Diceros bicornis minor: one gene and its partner. The protein of the gene in region 1 purifies or fractionates together with the protein of each later gene. This does not show direct contact. Links are inferred from orthologs where the notes say so. Each region holds a gene or a part of one and is shown on either strand. Other genes may lie near its edges.

Region 1 (7,491 bases):
AGTTGAATAAATGACTGGTTCGTTAAGTGGAGGTAAAGAGGAAATTTCAGATCAATCTGGATATTTTGATATATTTTTGTAGAAATGACAGAAATGGCTACATATACACATTCATATATACTTAAAGCATTGATTAGACCTAGAAGAAAATGTAAAAAGATATACGCTACATCGTGGCTTAATGTGTAGGTTTGCACCTGGGATCCGAACCCGCAAACCCTGGGCAGCCGAAGTAGAGCGTGCAAACTTAACCACTACATCACCAGGCTGGCCCCTATTACATTGTTGACTGTGGTTAGATCTGTGTAATAGGATTTGAGGGGAGAGATTTCTGTTTTGTTTTGTGTTTTATTTTATATATTCCTTATTTAAAAATCAAGATTTTTAGAAAAATAAAGCTATTGGTGTATTCTGAATTTTCACTGGCAGATAACAAAGTTTATTGTATATTACAATTCTTCCCTTCTAAGAATTACCTTCCTCCTGTCCAAAATATTTTCAATTTCCATTCTCGGGCCGGCCCTGTGGCTTAGCGGGTAAGTGTGCGTGCTCCGCTGCTGGCGGCCTGGGTTCGGATCCCGGGCATGCACCGACACACCACTTCTCCGGCCATGCTGAGGCCACGTCCCACATACAGCAACTAGAAGGATGTGCAACTATGACATACAACTATCTACTGGGGCTTTGGGGAAAAATAAAAGGAGGAGGATTGGCAATGGATGTTAGCTCAGGGCTGATCTTCCTCACAAAAAAAAAAAAGTTTCCGTTCTCTTTCAGTACTAACTGTGCCATAATTTGCTATTAATCTTGGAAAAATCAACTCCTTGATCTGCATAGCAGCTTCCTCATTCATAAAATGAAGTGTACAATCCAGACAGCACTTCCCAACTAGCGGGCTTTGGCACACTGGTGTCCTGAATGTGGGTGAGAAATTGATCCCTCCTGCAATGGAGCAGTTGAGAGGAGTCAGGGGCAGCCAGAGTCTCCTGGGCCAGTACCTCCGGCCATAAGCAGGCTTGTTTAGGGCTCCTCAGGGCAGCCTGTGCAGAGCAGTCTGGGGCTTATGCCAAAGATGCAGCAAGCACAGTGGACAACAACCAGCACTTACAGTTCTCCTGTCTGTGGATGGCCAAGGATGCTTGCCACATGGGCATCTATCTGCAAAGCACTCCACTGCCCACCATGAATCAGAGTCTCTGAAGCCAATGCACAAGTTTGTGATCCAGGTACCCAAGGGGCATAGCACACAGCCCCAGAGGTAGTCTGCTAGGGGTGTGAGAGAGGAGCCTGAGTAGAGCGGGGTTCCTGGTGGGCTCAGCTCCAGGCAATGCCCTTAATATGTGTCTTAACATACAGTGGCTATTTCTATCCCTTTGTGGTGATGCACTCTTTTAATGGCCCCCAGACTAGCTGTTGACAATGCATGCACGTTCTGAAAGCTAGAGTTTCAATGTGGAAATCTTGATATAAAAATGTACTACTGGGTTTGAAATCCATTTGCATTATCATATGAAACTGCAACATTACATTAGTCAATAAAAGGAAGAGTTGTTATTCTTTAAATATAATTACCACTGTAAATTTTGAATAGTTGTATAAAATGGTTTTAAATATTTTATCACCCACTTTTGTGATCAGAGTCCCTCACTGATAATTACTATTCAGAATATGAGTTTGTCATTAAAAAGTCTAGATCAGAAACTGCATAAAGCCATTTAAACCATAAAACCTAATATCAAAATATACTCACAGAAACAAGATCAAGTCGATCATTAAAAATGATGGAAAAATTTTACTTGAAAGTTTTATTCAAATTCAATTTTTTTAAAAGCCATAGCAGTTCCCTTTTTTTTTTTTTTGAGGAAAATTGGCCCTGAGCTAACATCTGTCGCCAATCTTCCTCTTTTTTTTCCTTTCTTCTCCCTAAAGCCCCAGTACATAGTTGTATATCCTAGTTGTAGGTCCTTCTAGTTCTTCTATGTGGGACGCTGCCTCAGCATGGCTTGATGAGTGGTGAGTAGGTCCTCACCCAGGATCCGAACCGGCAAACCCCGGGCCACCAAAGCGGAACACGAGAACTTAACTGCTATGCCACCAGGCCGGCCCCCAAATTCAATTTTTAATATCTTCTCTGGTACGTTGTATTTTATTTTTTTACCAACCATCATTTAGATGCCTCCAAATCTCTTCGTTTTTGTAACCTAGTGTGCTATATAAAACTTATTTTCTGTATGTGTTGTGATATGAAAGAAGTTGAGAGGCGCTGATATAGATTATTTATAAAGTCTGTCTGCCACCCCATCCCACCCTAGGACCCTTGTCCTCTGCTCCCCACCCCATACACTCTCTCTCTCACATTTCAAAGACAGCCAGGGCCACAAGGACAGATAGGAGGCACGGTTCAGCTCTGTCCAATAGGGTAAAGATCTTGAGCAGGGATATTTGTATTAGATACCATGTGGCCCCAGAGCTGGAGGGTAAGCTTAGACAAAAGCATAAAAAATAGCTAATGTCTAAAACCCAGAGGCCGGATGAACAACAAGTCTGGACGAATCCAAAGGGAAGAATCCACATTTTACTGAAGGACAAAATACCTGAATAAATGGACTGACAGACCACCTTCCTGTATGGAAGTACTTAGTATCCCATCCCTCATCATTTCTCCAATACAAGAATTTAATACAATTCAAAGAAGAAAGAATAATAACAGAAGTTATTGATTAGAAACAACTTGGTTAGAAAATACCCAAACATGCCCTAAAGTGAAGCCAAGCGATCAGCCTTTTGGATCAACCTTGCAGTGTCTCATAGGGTACCTTGCTGTGAATACCATCTTCCTAAGGTCTTTAACTTTGTGTTTTTGTACATACCCAGAATTGATCAAGTTATTCATGACTATTTCATAGTAATCAAACTCACAAAGCCTTGATATATTAATGAGACAATAAGAATATAAATTTTCCCATTGTCTCAAGCACTGTTGTTGGCTATGAGGAGTACCTTATAAGCAGAACACATAATAGTTTGCTTGTGATAATGGAATCAGAGCAACAGGAGGCGGCTAGTTTGGAAGATTATCTCATCCAAGTTACATTAAGGCCTGGTGACTGGTTTCTATCCTGGAGCAGAGTACCTTCTGTTTATGTCTCCCAAATAAAACTCCTGTTCCGCTTGGCCAATGCTTGATAAACATCAACAAATTCTTATTCTTTGTGTTTCCTTTTTCCAAACTCCAAGCCAACCATTCCCCATTTATTAACACAAACTGTTTTTCAAACAATTTACACTATAATTGACTAGATTTCTAATCTTCCAAGGGAGGGCCTGATCAATTCTAAAGGAGCTGCTCATATGCATTGCTACATTAAAATACAGGGCATTTCTTAGCAGGATAAGGAAACTTGTCAATTGCGGTCACTTTCACCAGCACTTTTGTTTAAACATGGATCCATTAATTTAAGACTATCATAAGTGTTGGGGATCACCTAATCTCATCCCCATTTTTATTGAAAAAATTAAAACTAAAACTCAGTAAGGGTCAAATGATTTAAAATCACTTGGCTAGGCCGAGAAAGGATTAGAGCTCTAGTTTTTAACTCTTTAATTGAGCTCGTTCATTACACTTCACAACACAATTGGAAAATTAAGGTAAAAATCACTGGCGAACAGATAGCATATGTGGTGATCCTACTTTTGGAAACCTTGTAAACCTTTCCTTAAAATCCGTCGGTGCGAACATTTGCTTCAGCTCTTTCCACACTAACTAGAAAAGTGTTAGAAAATGGTGCCGACAGATTTCTTGAGATCAATGAGTCCCTAACGAACTGACCTCGATCAGTCCTGCCTCAGCTCGTTAAAGGTGAAATTTCAGTATGTCAGCCGCGTTTTAAGGCTTTTCCAAGGTGCCCAAGATTCATATACGGCGGCGTCGCAAGGCTTTTCAGTGCAGGCCCTCACAGTGGGCATCGCAGTCACAAAACTTGGTCCCTGGCATTTGGAAACGTGCGAGAAGACGCCGCGAGAGGGCTTTCTTGTAACCTTAAAGTAGTACAGGAGAAAAGAAGTGTGGTTTTATTCAGACACGAGAATGAAATGAAATCGGAAACGGAGACCCAGGGGCCTACGTGGGGGAGGGGGGAAAAACGCGCGAGAAGAAAGGGAAAGGCTTTTTTCTCCGGTGACGCGCGGTCACGAGGCGCCCTCCCGACGTGGGCGCTCGCCATTGGTTGAGCCCGAGCTGACGTCCCCGCAGCCGCCCGAGCGCGAACCGCGGCAAGGGCGGCGCCGCGCTGGAAGTTGGCGAGGCGCGCGCGCTCCCGCGACCCGCCACGCCCCCGCCCTCCGCCCGCCAACCCGCTCGTCCAGTCCTTCTTCGCGCCCAGTTGGCTACGCCCCCTTTCCAACTCGCCCCTCCCCCACCGGGCCGGCGGCGCGCAGAAAGCGCGTCACGTGACGGCTGGCCCCGCCTCTTCCTCTCGGTCCCATATTGAACTCGAGTTGGAAGAGGCGAGTCCGGTCTCAAAATGGAGGTAAAACCGCCGCCCGGTCGCCCCCAGCCCGACTCCGGCCGTCGCCGCCGCCGCCGGGGGGAGGAGGTATTAGGGGGAGAGCGGGGGGTTGACGGGTAGTGGCCGGCGTGGGGGGCCTGGCTCGGTGGGAGCGGGGAGGCCGGGTGGACCGGGTCGGCCGTCCCGCGCTCTGCGCTGAGACGGGCGGTGGGAGGGGGAGGGGAGCGGGCCTCGGAGGCCTCCTCGGGGCCCCTCGTCCGCCTCGCCTTCTCCTTCGGCTGCACAGGTGGCTCTTCGGAGGCGCGGCGTGGCTGGGGAGCCCTCGGGAGGCGAGCCGGGCCGCCGGCCGCGCGGCCTCGCATCCGGGGCCGAGGGCGGCATGGCGGGCCTCGGCGGGAGCGGTTGGGAGGAGGCGGTGGGGGAGGGGAGGGGACGAGCAGGCACATCCGGGCGAGCAAGCAGGCGGGCGGCGGCCACATTGACATTGATCCGCTGCCGCGTTACGAAATGGCGCATTGGCCCGCAATGGCCGCCGCCTCGCTCCGCCGCCGGGAAAGAGCGCGGCATTGCAAGGAAGAGAGAGGAGGCAGCTCGGCAAAAAATGCCGCAAATGGCCTCGAAGCTCGGGCGTTGTGCTTTCGCTGAAGTTCTGCCGGCGCGTTTCTAGGTCTTACAGACCTCTCTAAGGCAACGAGAATTTAATTCTCTATCCTGTTCTTTTCTTCGCAGCACCCAGTTGGAAATATGAATTTTTTAAAAAGTTTGCTGCTTAAAAATGCTTCCTGATCTGCTATTCTTGCTAAACTACTTAGAATTATACCTATCTTCGCGCCATGTGGGTGAAGTACTCTATCTCAGAACTTGAGTGTAGATGTGAAATAGGAACTTGAAATTTTTTTGATCTCCGTTTTTCTCATTTCTCATGATGGGTCGGCTCTGGTTGTAGTTTCTTGGATTTTTGTTTCAGAGGACTGCAACCACAGTTGAATTTTTCATGTGAGATAATTTTAAGTGGATTATAATTGTTTCTTTTTGTGAACTTTGTATATTGTCATTTAAACGCATTTAACCTAGACGAGAAAATGAGACTAAGTGAATTAATGCTTTAGGCTATTAATCATTTAACGTTTTTTTCTAGCGCGTGACAGCCTCTTCATGTTAAATGACTTAAGTCTACTTTTAGAAGACACAGGAAGACATTAGAATGTAAATGTGAGCTCTTTCATTTAAGGACTTTGGATGAACGATATCTTAATGCATGCATTAAATGGCAGTTTATGTAATTTCTTAAACAGGTAGTTGTAAAAGAATTCAGGCCGCATCTTAATTTTTAAGAAAAATCTCAATTCTGTTCTATTGTGCTCCATTCTGGTCAAGCAGTATATGCTATAAAGTCCACGTTGCCCTTTTTCTACCTTATGAGGTATTATATTTGAAGTTTTGCCATTTGATACCAGTGCAAATAGGTCATTTGCAGCATGTAACCTGTAACGTAAATTGGTTACAGAAAGCTATTAAGATACGTGGTGGATTTTTTCCATAGGTTTTTTTGAGGGTAAATGCTGGTTTAGCCTTTTATTGAGGAATATCTGTCTTAACATTTTGATTTGCCTGAGCCAGTGACTTTCTCTAAATTTGTCACTTAAAATTTTTAAGTTGTACTTCACAGTTTTGTGGTTTAAAATTAAAACTTGTTGGGATGTAGACTGAGGAGGGAAAACATGAAAAGAAATGGCATGGATGAAACACTGCTTTACAACACTTTGGTCATTCTTAGAAAATGGTTTCTCAGTAGCAATTTCTGAAATAATGTATCCCACACTCTTGTAGTTGTAGCTTTAAATTAAGGGGCTTTTGATTCTGGAATTCGGTTGGATTTCAATTTAGTTGAAGTGATGTCATTTGAAAGGCTGGTAATAGATTTTCTTGGTCTTTTGCTTCCTTTAATCAGTTGATGTGTGTGATCTTACTGTAATTTTTAACTGGACAAAGTGTTAATGGTACAGGAATTTGATGTTGAGTTACTATTTGGAGCAGATTAAAGGCTTGCAAATCTTTTTTAGCAATTCACCTAGTAAAAGAAATAATTAAAATGTATTGGTTTGTTTCCTCAGGGCCATGATCCAAAGGAACCAGAGCAGTTGAGAAAACTGTTTATTGGTGGTCTGAGCTTTGAAACTACAGATGATAGTTTAAGAGAACATTTTGAGAAATGGGGCACCCTTACAGATTGTGTGGTAAGTTACTAAAGGAGCAAAAAGAGATTCTTAAAGGGTAGAGGAGCTTTGGAGGTGTGTTTCAGTGTTTTTAAATTTTTATTTTGTAGGTAATGAGAGACCCCCAAACAAAACGTTCCAGGGGCTTTGGTTTTGTGACTTACTCTTGTGTTGAAGAGGTGGATGCAGCAATGTGTGCTCGACCACACAAGGTTGATGGGCGTGTAGTAGAACCAAAGAGAGCTGTTTCTAGAGAGGTATCTTATTAATACCATGTTGTGTAACATGAAATTGTTGTAAAATTTTGGGTTTTTTGACTTAGGAAATTTTTATTTGCAGGATTCTGTAAAGCCTGGTGCCCATCTAACAGTGAAGAAAATTTTTGTGGGTGGTATTAAAGAAGATACAGAAGAATATAATTTGAGAGACTACTTTGAAAAGTATGGCAAGATTGAAACCATAGAAGTTATGGAAGACAGGCAGAGTGGAAAAAAGAGAGGATTTGCTTTTGTAACTTTTGATGATCATGATACAGTTGATAAAATTGTTGGTAAGTAGCAGTTTATTGGAACTTGAATGAGAAAGCAGAAACGACTTCTCGTTCTACACTAGATTTGGTCAAAAGCTTATAATTGTATATCATACATAATAGTATATAATGTGTGGTTCAGTTTTCATAACGTGACTACACCTGTGTAACCAGCATCCGGATCAAGAAATAAACGTTATTAACATCCCAGATCGCTCCCTCATCCCCACTCAAAGTC
Region 2 (7,014 bases), on another chromosome or scaffold:
ATAATAGTACATATCTCCCATTGGGTTATTTAGATGAGATACTGTATGTAACACACTAGGACAGAGTGAACATTTCCTGTCTATTTATGTACATATGTATATATTTACGTGTGTATATATTTCACACACTGTGTGCATGCACACACATACATTCTTTGTGTTTCAAATGTGTTGCAAATTGTCAATTTATTTGTCTTTCAATTCTCTCGCTTTATTCAATACAGAATTTTAAAAATTATTTTTCTGTAGCCAATGTACCAGTCTTTCCCTTTGTGGTTATGTCTTTGATTTCACACTTAGAAATGCCTTCCTCATCTCAAAAATTTATAAACACATACATTTTATTTTAGTACCTTTAGCTTTACATACTTCAAGTTTAAATCTTTTTTTTAATTTTATTTATTTATTTTTTCCCCCAAAGCCCCAGTAGATAGTTGTACATCATAGCTGCACATCTTTCTAGTTGCTGTATGTGGGACCCGGCCTCAGCGTGGCCGGAGAAGCGGTGCGTCGGTGCGCGTCCGGGATTGAACCTGGGCCGCCAGCATCGGAGCGCACGCACTTAACCGCTAAGCCATGGCGCCGGCCCATAAATCTTTCTAATCTATTTAGAGTTTATTTTGATGTATAGTGTGAATACTATTTTTTCCCAAATTTCTAGTCATTGGATTTAACACCATTTTTAGAAAATTCTTTTCATTCTGATGTGACATATCACCTCATTGAATGCTGAATTCCCAAATACACCTTGGACCTGTTTCTAGATTTTGTCCCACTGAGCTGTTTCTTTCTGTGCTGGGGCTACAGTGCTTTAATATAACATTGACAGAGTTTTACATGGTTGATATACCACTTTTTAATTTTGTATTCTGCTTTTTTCCCCACAAACCATTATATCACAAACATTTCTTCACACCATTTAAAAAAAATCTATAAAACATAATTTTAATGGCTGTAATCTGTCATCAAAAAAATTAAAGAAAAAAGTAGACTATAACAGTTTCCATCAAGTCTAAGGTATCATCAATCTTAAGACACACCATTATTTGTGTACCACTAAGAAAAAAATGCTGCCAATTAAACTATGATATGCCATTGGTTTTTAAGACATATTGCTATTTTAGAGAGGTTAAACTGTGAGAAAATGTGTGTTTTAGAATTGATAAAAAAGATAATGAATAAATATGTGCTTTATCTCTGTATAGGGAAGGGTTTTCTGAGCTTAAAGACAGACTCAGAGGAAAGCACCCATGGCTTCATCAAAATTAAAAACTTCTGGGGCCAGGCCTGCTGGCCTAGTGGTTAAGTTCAGCATGCTCCACTTCATTGGCCCAGGTTAGGCTCCTCAGCTCGGACCTACACCATTCATCTATCAGTGGCCATGCTGTGGCGGCAGCTCACATACAAAACAGAGGAAGACTGGCAACTGGGCAAATCTTCCTCAGCAAAACAACAAAAAACTTCTGTATGTCTAAACATAAAAACCAATAACAACAACAACAATTAAAAGGCAAGCAAACAAAAACATTTGGGGCAACTATGGCCAAGGGTTAATAGCTTTAATAAAAACCAAAGATCACTGGAGAAAGAAGTCAAACTGACAGTTTATATAAGAGGGAATTGGCTATAAGTGTATAAAATTTACTTTACCTTGCTAGTAATAAACAGATGCAAATTAGAGATACGAGTCTTCTCAGTATTAAATTAGCAGAGATTAAAGGAAAGGAAATTTTCAGTGTCAGCAAAACAAGGGGATATGGAACACTCACACACCACAGAGAGGGTTGTCAAGTGCCATAACCTTTTTTTATTAGTAGTCCTAAAAATACTCAGACCTCCCATTGAATAATTTTACTTCTAGAAATCTATCCTAAGGATATGATCTAATCTTTCTATGATGATTATACATGACATTTACTCTTATTAAGGAAGAAAATCCGAGAAAACTTTAGAAAAAAATTAGGAAAAATAAACACTTTAGAAATGTGGCCTTGTTGTTACAAAAGGTAAAAATATGATTTTTTATGCACTACCAAGGGGATCAGGGTTTTTCCCTCATATAATCAGAAACTAGTGTTCTTAGGTCATTTAATAAGACCAGAACTCTCAAATGCTGTCACCTATTAAGAAGACACACCAGGAGGTGTCTTGGTGATGTCCTGGAAAGAGAGTATCCAAGAGCAAAAAGTGTTCTCCTTGCTTTTTCTTTCCCTTTTTTTTTTTTTGTGAGGAAGATCAGTCCTGAGCTACCATCTGATGCCAATCCTCCTCTTTTTGCTGAGGAAGATTGGCCCTAGGCTAACACCCGTGCCCATCTTCTTCTACTTTATATGGGATGCCACCACAGCACGGCTTGACAAGCGGTGCGTCATGTGCGCGAGGGATCCGAACCTGCGAACCCCAGGCCGCGGCAGCGGAGCGCGCACACTTAACCGCTGTGCCATGGGGCAGGCCCCTCTCCTTGGTTTTGAATCACCCAGAGACAGACCTCCTGTTTGGAAGACTTGGGAGTCCACATTTTGGTGACATCAGTCAAAAGGCCTTCCATTTCCTCCAGCTCCGTTTGCAGTTGAGGGCAGGCAGCGTCCTTCACCCTGCCTGTTCCATCTGTGTCCCCCTCACTCCCAGCAACTGCGTTTTCCTTTACAAACAGCTCCTCTCGCTCTCTGCTGAAGACCTGCCAATGCCTTCCCGTGCACCGGGAGTTAACACCCTTGCCAAGGCCTAAATGGCATTTCAAGGTCATTTCAAGATCAGGCCTTGCCTAGCTCTGGGATCCTATCTTGGATCACCCTCCCCCTTTATTTCACTGATGTCGTCTCTGTTTTCTCACACCTGTCAAAACCGGATTTGGCCTCCAGACCATTGTGCTTGGGAGGGAACATGCTTTGTCCGCATCTTCCCGTGGTGGCACTCAGAGAGGCCTTCACTAACGTCCAACACTGCCTTATCTTTAATGTGTTTACTGCCTGTGTCCACCGGGCCTGAGGTGGGAAGGACTGGCAGGATCAGAGAAGGGGAGACCTGAGGGGCTGCGGGCATTGTTCCAATTTCCCGCACCTGGAAATCGAGACCATCGCTCGTCTCGTGCAATATGCGCACACGCGGCGACCCTGGGTCACCTCCCAGCGTCTCCACCCGGGAAATGGATGTAACGGTACCTACTTAGTCTTGGGGGAACGAAGCCGGAAAGAGCCGGCGCGCGCCGACGGCTCGCTCGCGCTCCCCCCGCGCGCGGCAGTCGACATCCGGTCCCCGCTCTCTAGGAGCGCCCCGCGGCGTCAGGGCCCACGACCCTGGGGCGGGCGGCGGGGTCGTGGGGGGCGAGTTCCTTAGGGCGAAGGCGGGGTGCGGGACTGAGTCAGAGCACGGGGACCCCGCGCGGGCCGGGCCCAGGCCCGACGGCGGCAGGTAACGGGAAGGTGGAGGCACAGGCCTGCGCGGCCCCGCAGCCCCAAGAGAGGCCCGGTGGTCATCGCCGGGCTCTAGGGAGAAAGGGGGTACAGGTGGCGCGAGGGCGGGGAGCCTGTCCTTTCAGGTCGGCCAAGAGCGCTGATAATAGGCTGCGGGTAGGGGTAGGAAGACGGCCCCCTCGCCACGACCCAGAGCCCGGGACTATCACACTGTCCCCATAGGGAACTGACTGCCGCCATTCCCCTCCCCCACTGTGGCGGGTAGGGCGAGAACCGCTTGAAGGAAGACGCATGCGCATGAAACTAAATGACTGTCTAAACCGCCAAGGCTCGAAGTTCAATAATCGCGACAAGGCGCAGGCGCAAAAAAGCCCGGCGGGTGTAAGGAGGTGGGAGGGGCTGAGCTCAAGACGCATGCGCACAATAACTTGCTGGCTGGAGGTGAGCTTGCTCATGAAATTACGCATGCGCTCTATGTCTGTGTGACGCAAGCGGGCGGTGCGGGCCTCTGGCTGCGCGTGCGCAGAACTTGTTCGAAGGGCCTTATTTAGGTTGCGCAGGCGCTCGCTGGCCATTTCTTCTCAGCCACGCTGAAGTCGTTTGTCTGGGTGAGTGTGTGTCGCTCCGTGTTCGCCCCCCCCCCCCCCGGGGGCCCTCGAGGATGCCGTTTTCGCGAGGAGTGCGTGTCCCTAGACTTCTGTAGAGCCTGGGGGGCCGTGGCGAGGTGCAGGCTGCCCCTGGGAGCCGGGAGCGGCTCGCCGAGCCGCGCAGGGCGGCCGAGGCCTGCAGGCCCCGCCGCCTCTATTGTGTGAGGCGTCGGAGGAGGCGGAGCGGAAGCGGCCGCCGCCATTTCCTCATCTCCACTCTGGCGCCCGGCCGGGGACTCCTCGGTTCGGGGCGCCGGCGCTTGGTGCCCACAGCGGCCTCGGGGGCCCGGTCGCCGGCCGCGGGGTGTTGGGGGGCAGAGTCGCCGGGGTTGGGGCGTGCGCACGGGCTCGGCTCTTCTTGAGGCGCCGGGGCAGCGGGCGCCACTGGGGCGGAGGGCAGTTGGTTTGAGCGCTTCCCGGGCTGACCTCGTCCCGCCCCGCAGTCTGTCGACGCCAGCACCCGCCGGAGACGATGATGTTGGGCACCGAGGGCGGAGAGGGCTTCGTGGTGAAGGTGCGGGGCTTGCCCTGGTCTTGCTCGGCCGACGAAGTGCAGCGGTTCTTCTCTGGTGAGTTTGGAGCGGAGGCGGGAGTTGGCGGCCGGGGCAGCGGGCGGCCGGCGTCCTGGCGGGGCGGACGGGGCGCCCCCTGGCGGGGCGGGCGACCGCTGATCCCGCCGGCCGCCGTTACGCAATGGAAATTGTGAAAGCCCCCCCGCCCTCGGGAGAGCGTGGCCTCTCCGGCGGGCTGTTTTGTTTCCCTACTCTCGAGCACTAGTCCTCCTGTAAATGTGTTTTCCAAAGGATAGATGGGATTTCCTCCTCAATCTTGAGAGAATTGCCCAGTAGCTGCGCGCGTAATAGTGATGTTTTGCAAAGTCTTAAAAGATAGAACGTATACTTTCTAGTTTTCAAAGTATGTTGTCGAAAAGGGGCATTCTGCTTCGGAAAGTTAAAATGTCACTTCTTAATTTCAGACAATTTTCCTAATCAAGATTTAGTAATTGAAGAGTTCTTGCTCATCTAGTTCTTGATCTGGCTCACTTTACATTTGAGGACACGGAAGCCCAGGGAAGTTTGCCTATCTAGTTTTTTCTAGTATCCTGAATAATTTTTACCAAAACGTCCTTGTTCTCATTAGTGTAAGATTAGACTGATAAAGATATTTGGAAGATGGAAGAAATTTCCGGGTTTTGGAAGGACACTTGTAGTATTGACTTACTGTCTGAATTTAGCGTGGGTTACGGAAAACGACCTGTAAAACGAGAACCAAGTACACTGGAAGCCGCCTTGCAGTGGGCAGGACTGGGTCTGGCTTCAGCTGTGCAACTTGGAGCATTTTAGCTTGGTAACATTGATCCCTTTTCAGGTGAGTATTGGCAGTGCGATTTGGATTAGAAAGAAACTATCATGTTGCTAGTAAGGTAAAACGGTCAAATGCCGCAGACGAAAAGTTGCAACTAAGTATATTCAGGAAATGCCACAAAATAACCAAGTCCAGACAATTTGCTGACCAGTTAAAAATGTTGAATGGGAGACACTTGGGTAGTGAGGACTTAGAGATAACTTCATTAGAAACTGCTTTAAATATTGGATTTTTTTGATGGATTGGGAATATATCATCTAGGAAATAAAAGTTTGATGGAGAGAGGATAACTGCTTAATTACTGGACAGAGACATCCTAGAAGTTGGTAATAATTTGGTCATTTTAGGCTTCACAGATGATCTACTTTGTAGTAGGGGCATGAGGAGGCAGTTCATCTGTATCACCCAGAGGTGGTTTTAAGTTTTAAATTCTGTATTAACGGTTGTTTTCTTTCCAGACTGCAAAATTCAAAATGGGGCTCAAGGTATTCGTTTCATCTACACCAGAGAAGGCAGACCGAGTGGCGAGGCTTTTGTTGAACTTGAATCAGAAGATGAAGTCAAATTGGCCCTGAAAAAAGACAGAGAAACTATGGGACACAGATATGTTGAAGGTTTGATTTACGTTGCCCTAGTAACAGTAAATAAAACATTAAACACAGAGAGATCTATCTTACCCCTTCTGAATTTTAGGTATTTGACCGCATGGAAATGGTCATCTAAGGGAGTTTATGGCAGCTCTTCCTAGATTATCTAAAGACCCAGGAAATCTGAACTTTGTTCTCTAACTTTCCAAAATTGACTAATTCTAAGCACCTCTTTCAGTATTCAAGTCAAACAACGTTGAAATGGATTGGGTGTTGAAGCATACTGGTCCAAATAGTCCTGACACGGCCAATGATGGCTTTGTACGGCTTAGAGGACTCCCCTTTGGATGTAGCAAGGAAGAAATTGTTCAGTTCTTCTCAGGTATGTAGTCGTGTTTGTTGCTGAGCAGCGAATTCTGGCTAGCTTCTGGCAACGTGTGATTTAATAGACCTTAAAGTTTAGCAGCTCAGATATTAAAACAGGTTGTGAGTATATGCAGGTGAATTAATGTTTTTTCTTCCTGGAGACCTTCAAATAATTTAAGCCCATCTTAAAGGTGGAAATTAAGTACTTCCAAAATGCTAACTTTGCCTGTATTTAGTATTATAGTGCAGAGTAGATCTTTGAGGATTGTCCTCAACAGCTTAACTCCTTTCCTCACAATGCTGTTCAGCAAAGTACTTCAAGTTAAAGGTAAGATCCCTTCACATTAGATTAGCATGAGTTAGATTGTGATTTCTCCCAAGTGTCTATGTCGTAAGACACATTGGGTCATGGGACTAGAATTGTCTCTGATGCAAAAAAAACTATTTATGGAAGCAACTAGTTTAGTTAGCCAGGGAATTATAAACTTAACTAAAAGTCAGTCTAATGTAAGAGTAGGTGGAATGTAGTCTCAGTATCTGAAATACAGAAAGTGTTTTGAAATTGTTCTGGGCCTAAAGTATTTGAATGTTTTTATGCTGAAGAACTGATAAAATTGCATGTTTAGCAGAATATTA

Evidence for each region.
Region 2: the proteins of HNRNPA3 (region 1) and HNRNPH1 fractionate together in Homo sapiens (co-fractionation; 3 studies listed by BioGRID and IntAct, with this or other methods). This does not show direct contact. The link is inferred for Diceros bicornis minor from reciprocal best matches to the Homo sapiens genes HNRNPA3 and HNRNPH1.

What each region holds. Positions count from the first base shown.
Region 1 is NC_080749.1:57,778,124-57,785,614, forward strand, and holds the start of HNRNPA3 (heterogeneous nuclear ribonucleoprotein A3), read left to right. Parts: upstream 1-4,486; 5' UTR 4,487-4,523; coding exon 4,524-4,595; intron 4,596-6,622; coding exon 6,623-6,745; intron 6,746-6,834; coding exon 6,835-6,981; intron 6,982-7,063; coding exon 7,064-7,274; intron 7,275-7,491. UniProt on the Homo sapiens protein: Plays a role in cytoplasmic trafficking of RNA. Binds to the cis-acting response element, A2RE. May be involved in pre-mRNA splicing.
Region 2 is NC_080740.1:92,600,648-92,607,661, reverse strand, and holds the start of HNRNPH1 (heterogeneous nuclear ribonucleoprotein H), read left to right. Parts: upstream 1-4,002; 5' UTR 4,003-4,021; intron 4,022-4,503; 5' UTR 4,504-4,532; coding exon 4,533-4,629; intron 4,630-5,883; coding exon 5,884-6,039; intron 6,040-6,250; coding exon 6,251-6,394; intron 6,395-7,014. UniProt on the Homo sapiens protein: This protein is a component of the heterogeneous nuclear ribonucleoprotein (hnRNP) complexes which provide the substrate for the processing events that pre-mRNAs undergo before becoming functional, translatable mRNAs in the cytoplasm.